2 linked regions of the Saccharomyces cerevisiae S288C genome follow. The protein of the gene in region 2 binds, or shares a complex with, the protein of the main gene of each other region. Each region holds a gene or a part of one and is shown on either strand. Other genes may lie near its edges. A codon is read from its position in the direction of its gene.

What was found.
Region 1: the proteins of RNR2 (region 2) and RNR1 are in contact, whole or in part, in a crystal structure (PDB 2CVY), measured with the Saccharomyces cerevisiae proteins. Residues at the interface, in NP_012508.1 of Saccharomyces cerevisiae: Phe393 (codon at 524), Thr394 (codon at 521), Phe395 (codon at 518), Asn396 (codon at 515), Glu397 (codon at 512), Asp398 (codon at 509), Phe399 (codon at 506); in NP_010993.1 of Saccharomyces cerevisiae: Val342 (codon at 3,054), Glu343 (codon at 3,057), Gln386 (codon at 3,186), Trp389 (codon at 3,195), Tyr390 (codon at 3,198), Leu393 (codon at 3,207), Ser691 (codon at 4,101), Gln692 (codon at 4,104), Lys693 (codon at 4,107), Ile696 (codon at 4,116), Met721 (codon at 4,191), Gly722 (codon at 4,194), Lys723 (codon at 4,197), Thr725 (codon at 4,203), Ser726 (codon at 4,206), Met727 (codon at 4,209), Phe729 (codon at 4,215), Tyr730 (codon at 4,218).

What each region holds. Positions count from the first base shown.
Region 1 is NC_001137.3:296,920-302,185, forward strand, and holds RNR1 (ribonucleotide-diphosphate reductase subunit RNR1), read left to right. Parts: upstream 1-2,030; coding exon 2,031-4,697; downstream 4,698-5,266. Other genes in the region: ARG56 (bifunctional acetylglutamate kinase/N-acetyl-gamma-glutamyl-phosphate reductase), read left to right, coding at 1-1,082; TDA2 (Tda2p), read right to left, coding at 5,028-5,266.
Region 2 is NC_001142.9:390,422-394,103, reverse strand, and holds RNR2 (ribonucleotide-diphosphate reductase subunit RNR2), read right to left. Parts: upstream 1,701-3,682; coding exon 501-1,700; downstream 1-500. Other genes in the region: RRN7 (Rrn7p), read right to left, coding at 1-137; YJL027C (uncharacterized protein), read left to right, coding at 1,855-2,271; YJL028W (uncharacterized protein), read right to left, coding at 2,458-2,793; VPS53 (Vps53p), read left to right, coding at 3,251-3,682. UniProt on the Saccharomyces cerevisiae protein: Provides the precursors necessary for DNA synthesis. Catalyzes the biosynthesis of deoxyribonucleotides from the corresponding ribonucleotides. RNR2 provides the diiron-tyrosyl radical center.

The sequences.
Region 1 (5,266 bases), on a different chromosome or scaffold from region 2:
CTTCTACCCTCAACTCATCAGCAAGTAGTGGAGTATTTGCTAACAAAAAATCAGCTAGGTCGTACTCAACTAGATCCACTCCTCGTCCCGAGGGAGTTAACACCAACCCTGGTCGTGTCGCGCTTATTGGTGCTAGAGGTTACACAGGTAAAAATTTGGTATCTTTGATCAACGGCCACCCATATTTAGAAGTGGCCCATGTTTCTTCTCGTGAATTGAAAGGTCAAAAGTTGCAAGATTATACAAAATCCGAAATTATATATGAAAGTTTGCAAATACAGGATATTAGGAAACTGGAAGAACAAAATGCTGTGGACTTTTGGGTTATGGCATTACCCAACAAAGTCTGTGAACCTTTCGTTGAGACAATCCAAAGTGTTCATGGTAAGTCTAAAATTATTGATCTGTCCGCTGATCACAGGTTTGTATCAGAATCAGACTGGGCTTACGGTTTGCCAGAATTGAATGATAGAGCAAAAATTGCAAACGCTGCCAAAATTGCTAATCCCGGTTGTTATGCTACTGGTTCGCAATTAACTATTTCTCCGTTAACAAAGTATATCAATGGTCTTCCAACTGTGTTTGGTGTTTCAGGGTATTCAGGCGCGGGGACGAAGCCTTCTCCAAAAAACGATCCCAAATTCTTGAACAATAACTTAATTCCTTACGCTTTAAGTGATCATATACACGAACGCGAAATCTCAGCTCGCATTGGGCACAATGTTGCATTCATGCCCCATGTTGGGCAGTGGTTTCAAGGTATCTCTTTGACCGTCTCTATTCCAATAAAAAAAGGTTCCTTGTCTATTGATGAGATCAGGAAATTATACAGAAATTTTTACGAAGACGAAAAGCTAGTACATGTCATCGATGATATCCCACTGGTTAAAGATATTGAGGGCACCCATGGTGTAGTTATTGGTGGTTTCAAGCTGAATGATGCTGAAGATCGTGTAGTTGTTTGCGCAACCATCGATAACTTACTTAAAGGCGCCGCTACTCAATGTCTGCAAAATATTAATCTTGCTATGGGTTATGGAGAGTATGCTGGTATCCCTGAAAATAAAATTATTGGTGTCTGATCACTGTGTATAGTAGATCTGCAGCTCAGTCACATGAGACATTAACGTATATAAATATATAAATATATATATATCCATTAAATAACGAAGTAGGACATGGTCTAAAAATAGTGCTTCTCATGTATTGATTTTGAGTAGCCATAAGAATAATTATTGATTTCAAGATCTTTGATCTCCTTACATCCAAAATTATAATACCACTTTATGGTATCACGACATCACCACAACAGAGAAGGATTGCCGCATTTGGATATCGTAAACAAAGGCGTTACCATAGAAATGTACTGATTGGCAGAATTACTCTTCAGGAGAATCTTTCATACAAAGGAATTCCATTGGGGAAAATCTCGTTACCAAGTCAATGCTGAACTTTCTATGGCCTTTGTTTACTATCGTTAATTATTTTACGACCACTTCTGGGTAGAAATATTTCGTAGCCCTGGAACGAGCTTGTTTACGCGTTTTATCCCATTATATGGCACCCAAATCAAATTTAAAAAGAAAAAACGCGTAAACAGTGTCGGGTAAGTTCATCCTCTGTTACTTTAATTGCTTCTTTTTTTGAAATTCTAAGTAAACGCGTCATTTTGATCCTCAGGACACAGAAATCCTTGCAGAATCTTATTGGGTGTTGAATAGAGGACGCGTAAAAACGATATGGAAATTTTTTTCATATAGTGTAGAAAGAATAGGTTGGCGTAGGTAGTTTCGTGTTTGATAGAAACCTCCAACAAAGTCTGCAGCTCACGTTTTAGAATAACAAGTTTAGAGTTTATCTTGTTGCCTTTGTTAAGTCAGTACCATTGAATAAAAATTATATAAAGGAGCTAATATTTCATTGTTGGAAAATTACTCTACCATAATTGAAGCATATCTCATCCTTTTCATCCTTTTCAACGCAAGAGAGACACCAACGAACAACACTTTATTTGTTGATATATTAACATCATGTACGTTTATAAAAGAGACGGTCGTAAAGAACCTGTCCAATTCGATAAGATTACCGCTCGTATATCACGCTTATGCTATGGTTTAGATCCAAAACATATCGACGCCGTTAAGGTCACCCAACGTATCATTTCTGGTGTCTATGAAGGTGTCACAACAATCGAACTAGACAACTTAGCCGCTGAAACATGCGCTTATATGACTACTGTTCATCCAGATTACGCCACCCTAGCGGCCAGAATTGCCATTTCTAATTTACATAAACAAACCACAAAACAATTTTCTAAGGTTGTCGAAGATCTTTATAGATACGTCAATGCTGCTACTGGTAAGCCCGCTCCCATGATCTCTGATGATGTCTACAATATTGTCATGGAAAACAAGGATAAATTGAACTCCGCAATTGTCTATGACAGAGATTTTCAGTACAGTTATTTTGGTTTTAAAACTTTGGAACGTTCTTATTTACTAAGAATCAACGGTCAAGTGGCCGAACGTCCACAACATTTAATTATGAGAGTCGCACTAGGCATCCACGGTAGAGATATCGAGGCTGCTTTAGAAACGTATAACTTGATGTCTCTAAAATATTTTACTCACGCCTCTCCAACGTTGTTCAATGCCGGTACTCCAAAACCTCAAATGTCCTCTTGTTTCTTGGTTGCCATGAAGGAGGACTCTATCGAGGGGATTTACGACACCTTGAAGGAATGTGCTTTGATTTCCAAAACTGCTGGTGGTATTGGTCTACATATCCATAACATTCGTTCAACTGGTTCTTACATTGCTGGTACAAACGGTACTTCTAACGGTTTAATTCCTATGATTCGTGTTTTCAATAACACTGCCCGTTATGTTGACCAGGGTGGTAATAAAAGACCTGGTGCGTTTGCCCTTTACCTGGAACCATGGCATGCTGATATATTTGATTTTATTGATATTAGGAAGAACCACGGTAAAGAGGAAATTCGTGCAAGAGATTTGTTCCCTGCTCTATGGATTCCTGATCTTTTCATGAAGCGTGTCGAAGAAAATGGGACCTGGACATTATTCTCTCCAACATCAGCTCCTGGTTTAAGCGATTGTTACGGTGACGAGTTTGAGGCTCTATATACCCGCTACGAGAAAGAAGGTCGTGGTAAGACTATCAAAGCCCAAAAATTATGGTATTCCATTTTGGAAGCTCAAACTGAAACTGGTACACCTTTCGTTGTTTACAAGGATGCTTGTAACAGAAAATCTAATCAAAAAAACTTAGGTGTCATCAAGTCATCAAACTTATGCTGTGAAATTGTTGAATACTCAGCTCCAGATGAAACTGCTGTTTGTAACTTGGCTTCCGTTGCCTTACCAGCATTCATTGAAACTTCTGAGGATGGTAAGACTTCCACATACAACTTCAAAAAATTACATGAAATTGCTAAAGTTGTTACTCGTAATTTAAACAGAGTCATTGATCGTAATTACTACCCTGTTGAAGAAGCGAGAAAATCCAATATGAGACATAGACCAATTGCTTTGGGTGTTCAAGGTCTCGCTGACACTTTCATGCTGTTACGTTTGCCATTTGATTCTGAGGAAGCCCGTTTGCTAAATATCCAAATCTTTGAAACTATTTATCATGCCTCCATGGAAGCTTCTTGTGAACTAGCTCAGAAGGACGGTCCATACGAAACTTTCCAAGGATCTCCTGCTTCTCAAGGTATACTACAGTTTGATATGTGGGACCAAAAACCCTACGGCATGTGGGATTGGGACACCTTAAGAAAAGATATCATGAAGCATGGTGTTAGAAATTCCTTGACCATGGCACCAATGCCTACTGCATCCACATCCCAAATATTGGGTTATAATGAATGTTTCGAACCAGTCACTTCCAATATGTACTCCCGTCGTGTCTTATCCGGTGAATTCCAGGTTGTGAACCCTTACTTACTGCGTGACTTGGTTGATTTAGGTATTTGGGATGAGGGTATGAAACAGTATCTGATTACACAAAATGGCTCCATTCAAGGCTTACCAAACGTTCCACAAGAATTGAAGGACTTATACAAGACTGTTTGGGAAATTTCACAAAAGACTATCATTAACATGGCAGCCGATCGTTCTGTCTATATTGATCAATCTCATTCTTTGAATTTGTTCTTACGTGCCCCAACTATGGGTAAACTAACAAGTATGCATTTTTACGGATGGAAGAAGGGATTGAAGACCGGTATGTACTATTTGAGAACCCAAGCTGCATCTGCTGCAATTCAATTTACTATTGATCAGAAGATTGCGGATCAAGCTACAGAAAACGTTGCTGATATTTCCAACTTGAAGCGTCCATCATATATGCCTTCCAGTGCAAGCTACGCTGCCAGCGATTTCGTGCCCGCAGCTGTGACTGCAAACGCAACTATTCCATCTCTAGATAGCTCCTCGGAAGCTTCAAGAGAGGCATCTCCAGCTCCAACAGGTAGCCACTCATTAACTAAAGGAATGGCAGAATTAAACGTTCAAGAGTCTAAGGTAGAAGTTCCTGAAGTACCTGCCCCAACTAAGAATGAAGAAAAAGCTGCCCCCATCGTTGATGATGAGGAAACCGAGTTCGACATTTACAACTCTAAGGTTATAGCATGTGCTATTGATAACCCAGAAGCTTGTGAAATGTGTTCGGGTTAATGAGGGCTAAGTTTTTATTTCTTCAATTCTATTTATCAAAATTTGGGTGTTTACTTCGAGGTGTAATTTATATTTTCTTTTGTTTTCTCTGATAAAAAAATTGGTTTCCATTCTAATGCCAAGCTAAAAGGTACCTATATATGTTTACTAATTATTTTTCTACTTTGCATATATACATAAAAAAAGTCGAATAATTTAACATGAACATTTTAAGCTGTCCTTGTAAGAAGGCCATGATACAGATTCCCCCCTGCCCCGAAATGGGGTCTAGGCAACATTGTTCTATAAAGGAACGCAACTTTATGTGGCAACATTAAAGCAAATACATATCTACTTGTGAAGCCAAAGAATTGTAATTAAATAGCACTCATTATTATTTTTGTCTTCTAGTTTATAGTTGAATATACCATCTTTTTTAGATTCCCAGGATGCGCCTATATCGTTCTTCAATGAGAAATTAGCGTTTTCTTCGTTGAGTCCTTCAATGTTCAACGTCGTTACCGAGGCAATATATTTATACAAAGAAGAGTGCTTTTCAAGTTTTTCTAGGACCAGTTTTATAAGAAGGT
Region 2 (3,682 bases):
TCTTCATCGTCGTTAAATTCCACGTCACCTTCCATAACGTGACCATATTGGCAGGTTCTTCTCCCATCAATGATACGCCAAAGCCGTGAGGGGCAGTTGTCTGTACCGCAGATGGGACCTCTTATGAAAGTAGACATCCTTAAGTGATGTAGGGGTATGTCCGAGTAGTTCGTTCAACTATTTTTAAAGACACATCGTTCCAGGTTTATATTCATATACATATGTATGTATTGTATAGGTTTTTTTATTTTTTATTTTTTATTTTTTTTTTTTTTTTTTTCAATTTTTTTAAGCTTTTCTTACTTTTCCGATGCCCTTTCCACTTTAATCAATATACGTATGAAATTCAGCCGAAGTTTCCGTTTGATAATATATTAGATTCAATATAAAAAAAAGTTTATATGATTCAGTGTATATATATATATATAAATAAGAGGTGCGAAAGCCCACATAAAGAGATTGAAGAGACTGCGTAAAAAGAAATATATAGAGAGATACTCTTAAAAGTCTTCGTTGAAGGTGAAAGCACCGGCTTCTTGCTTAGTCGACTTGGACATAACACCAGCCTTTTGGTAGTCAGAAACTCTCTTTTCGAAGAAGTTGGTCTTACCGGCCAAGGAGATGTTTTCCATGAAATCGAAGGGGTTTTCGACCTTGTAGTATTTCTTGTTACCGAAAGCAACCAACAGTCTGTCGGCGACGAACTCAACGTATTGGTTCATTAAGTCAGCGTTCATACCTAGCAAAGCAACTGGTAAGGCGTCCAAGAAGTATCTTTGTTCAATTTCCACAGCCTCGGTGACAATTTTTTCAACAATGGCTGGGTCTGGTTTGTTCTTCAAATGGGCGAACAACAAGCATGCAAAGTCGGTGTGCAAACCTTCGTCTCTACAGATCAATTCGTTGGAAAAGGTTAAACCGGGCATCATACCTCTCTTTTTCAACCAGAAAATGGAGGCAAAGGAACCGGAGAAAAAGACACCTTCAATGGAGGCAAAGGCAACTAGTCTTTCACCAAACAAGGCGTCAGCGTCTTGAATCCATCTTAAAGCCCATTCGGCCTTCTCACCGATTTCTGGGATGGTGTGAATGGCATTGAACAAGAATTCACTTTCTTTAGGGTCCTTGATGTAAGTATCGATCAACAAGGAGTAAGTTTCAGAGTGAATATTTTCAATCATGATTTGGAAACCGTAGAAACTCTTTGCCTCTGGAATTTGGACTTCGGTGGAGAAGTTTTCAACCAAGTTTTCATTAACAATACCGTCAGAAGCGGCGAAAAAGGCAAGAACTCTGGAAATGAAAAATCTCTCGTTTTCGTTCATTCTGTTGTTCCAGTCATGGATATCCTTAGACAAATCAATTTCTTCAGCGGTCCAGAAAGAAGCTTCGGCACGCTTGTAGGCTTGCCAGATTTCATGGTACTTGATAGGGAAAAGAACAGTTCTCTCCTTGTCTTCATTCAACAAAGGTTCCTCCTTTTCCATTTCCTTAAGTTTGTGACGGTGAACTTGATGAGATTTCAAGTAAGCCTTGTGATTTTCAGCGTCCTTGCTCAATTTCTCCTTAAGCATGTCTGACTTTACTCTGTTTTCCTCTCTCAATGTCTCCAATTCCTTGTTAAGGTTGGACTTGGAATCTTTGATTTCCAAGTCGGACAATGCATCGGCAGCAGCTTTGGAAGGGGTCTCTTTAGGCATGGTAATTGGACAAATAAATACGTGTATTAAGTTTGGATTCTTTGGTAGATAGCCAATCGAGGGAACAATTAAAAAAAAGAAAGAAATAAAAGACAAGAAGAAGAGCGAAAAAGGGGAAAGTGATGAGGAAAAGAACAATAGATAGATCCAGAAGATGATGGTAACGCGCAAACACTACCGCTATATATACCTACAAAACTCTCATTCTCTCATTTCCTGCTTCGTTCATTTCGAGTTTCCAAGGGTATGGTACGGTGCTATCTGCCCGTGCTTCCCCTCCTTTGCTTTGCTAAGAAAAATTTTCTTTTGTCAGCAGCAACAACACGCTACGCTCTGCGCTGTGCTACGAAGTGGTCTCTGTGGCAACGGGGACATTGTACCCATGCCCGCTCGCAGGGAGGTCTGGGTGTGGGGCGTGTGCGACCTCGTTGCCATGGCGATCGCGCGTGGGTGTGGTCTTTCCCCAAACGGTTGCCCGTTGCTCCGGATTTCGCATAGTTGTCGCGTAAACAAAAAACACGAGAGAGGGCGGACGGCGCTGAATAGTGGAAGATCGCGCGATGTCAAGTAAATAAGCTTGTATTTGTATTTGTATGTGTTTATGTGTTTGTGTGGTTGAGAATTTTATTTTCCTCCTAGTTTTTTCTTTTTTGAGTGCGGAGGGGCAGTGCTCTAAACTTTGCCTGCTTCTTGTTCGACTTCGGCTTCCTATGCAGAACGCAAAATCGCGTGCGCGAGGAACGAGGAAGACAACGCTTTAGATTGGCTTTTTCGTCGCCCATGCCCGTTGCGATAGCGATATGATGAGAAATCGATAAAAGGTTGCACCAGTACACCGCACTTTCTGGCGTGCTTGGATCTGGCTTGCGCGGCCTCGTGCCAGTAAGTAGAAAAGTAGTAATATGGCATGGCGAAAGAGAACAAAACAAGCAAAGCAAGCGTAATGCACAGCTGTGGCTAAAAAAAGAGCACAGAGGTGAAGGGAAAAAAAGATAAAGAAATTAAGGAGGTTGAGAGGGCTTGTGTGTCGATGCTTGGTGAGGCGGGACGTAACGGTTTTTTGTCTGTAGGCACTTCTACCCCACAGGGCCATGAATCTGGCCCGAAACCGTTGCGAGCGTGCCAATTGGTGGTGATATCTTTTTTCTTCCCTTTTTTTTTGTTTTCCGTTCTGTTATGTTCCTTCATCTTGAATTCACTAAAGGGAACAGAAGAAAAAGTTGGATATTAGATAAGCGGTACTTTTCTACAGGTCTAGTATTATTCCTCGGTTGGAACAAGAAATAGTGCTTCAGTAGCTCAGTAGGAAGAGCGTCAGTCTCATAATCTGAAGGTCGAGAGTTCGAACCTCCCCTGGAGCATATTTTTATACGTATATCTTTTTTCCCTCTATTTTGTTTTTTTTTTCTTTGTTTTTTCGTAGCTAGTAAAGAAGAGAAGGAGACCTAAAGTGTATATATACTTAATCTGCGATCATTGAAAAGTCGCTAGCTTATTGTCACTTACTGCATTTTCACAACATCTTCCATTTTTGTTTTCTCAGAAGGACAATGCTGGAAGGTACGGTAGATTATGACCCGCTGGAAGATATTACCAATATACTTTTTTCAAAAGAATCCCTGAACAACATAGATGAACTGATCAGTATTACCAGAAGCTACAAAAAGCAATTGCAAGAGGATATTCTCAAAGAAGAGAATGAATTGAAGGAACACCCTAAAAATTCCGCTGAAATAGAGGCTTCTCTGAGGAAAGTTTTCCAAGATTTCAAAGAAACTCAAGATGTCTCAGCCTCCACCGAGTTGACGATATCGAATCTGACAGAAGGTATCTCGTACCTGGACATTGCCAAGAAAAACCTCACCCACTCTTTGACTCTTTTCCAAAATTTAAAGATATTGACAGACAGTTACATACAATGCAATGAATTACTCTCACAGGGCTCATTCAAAAAAATGGTGTCCCCTTATAAGATAATGTGT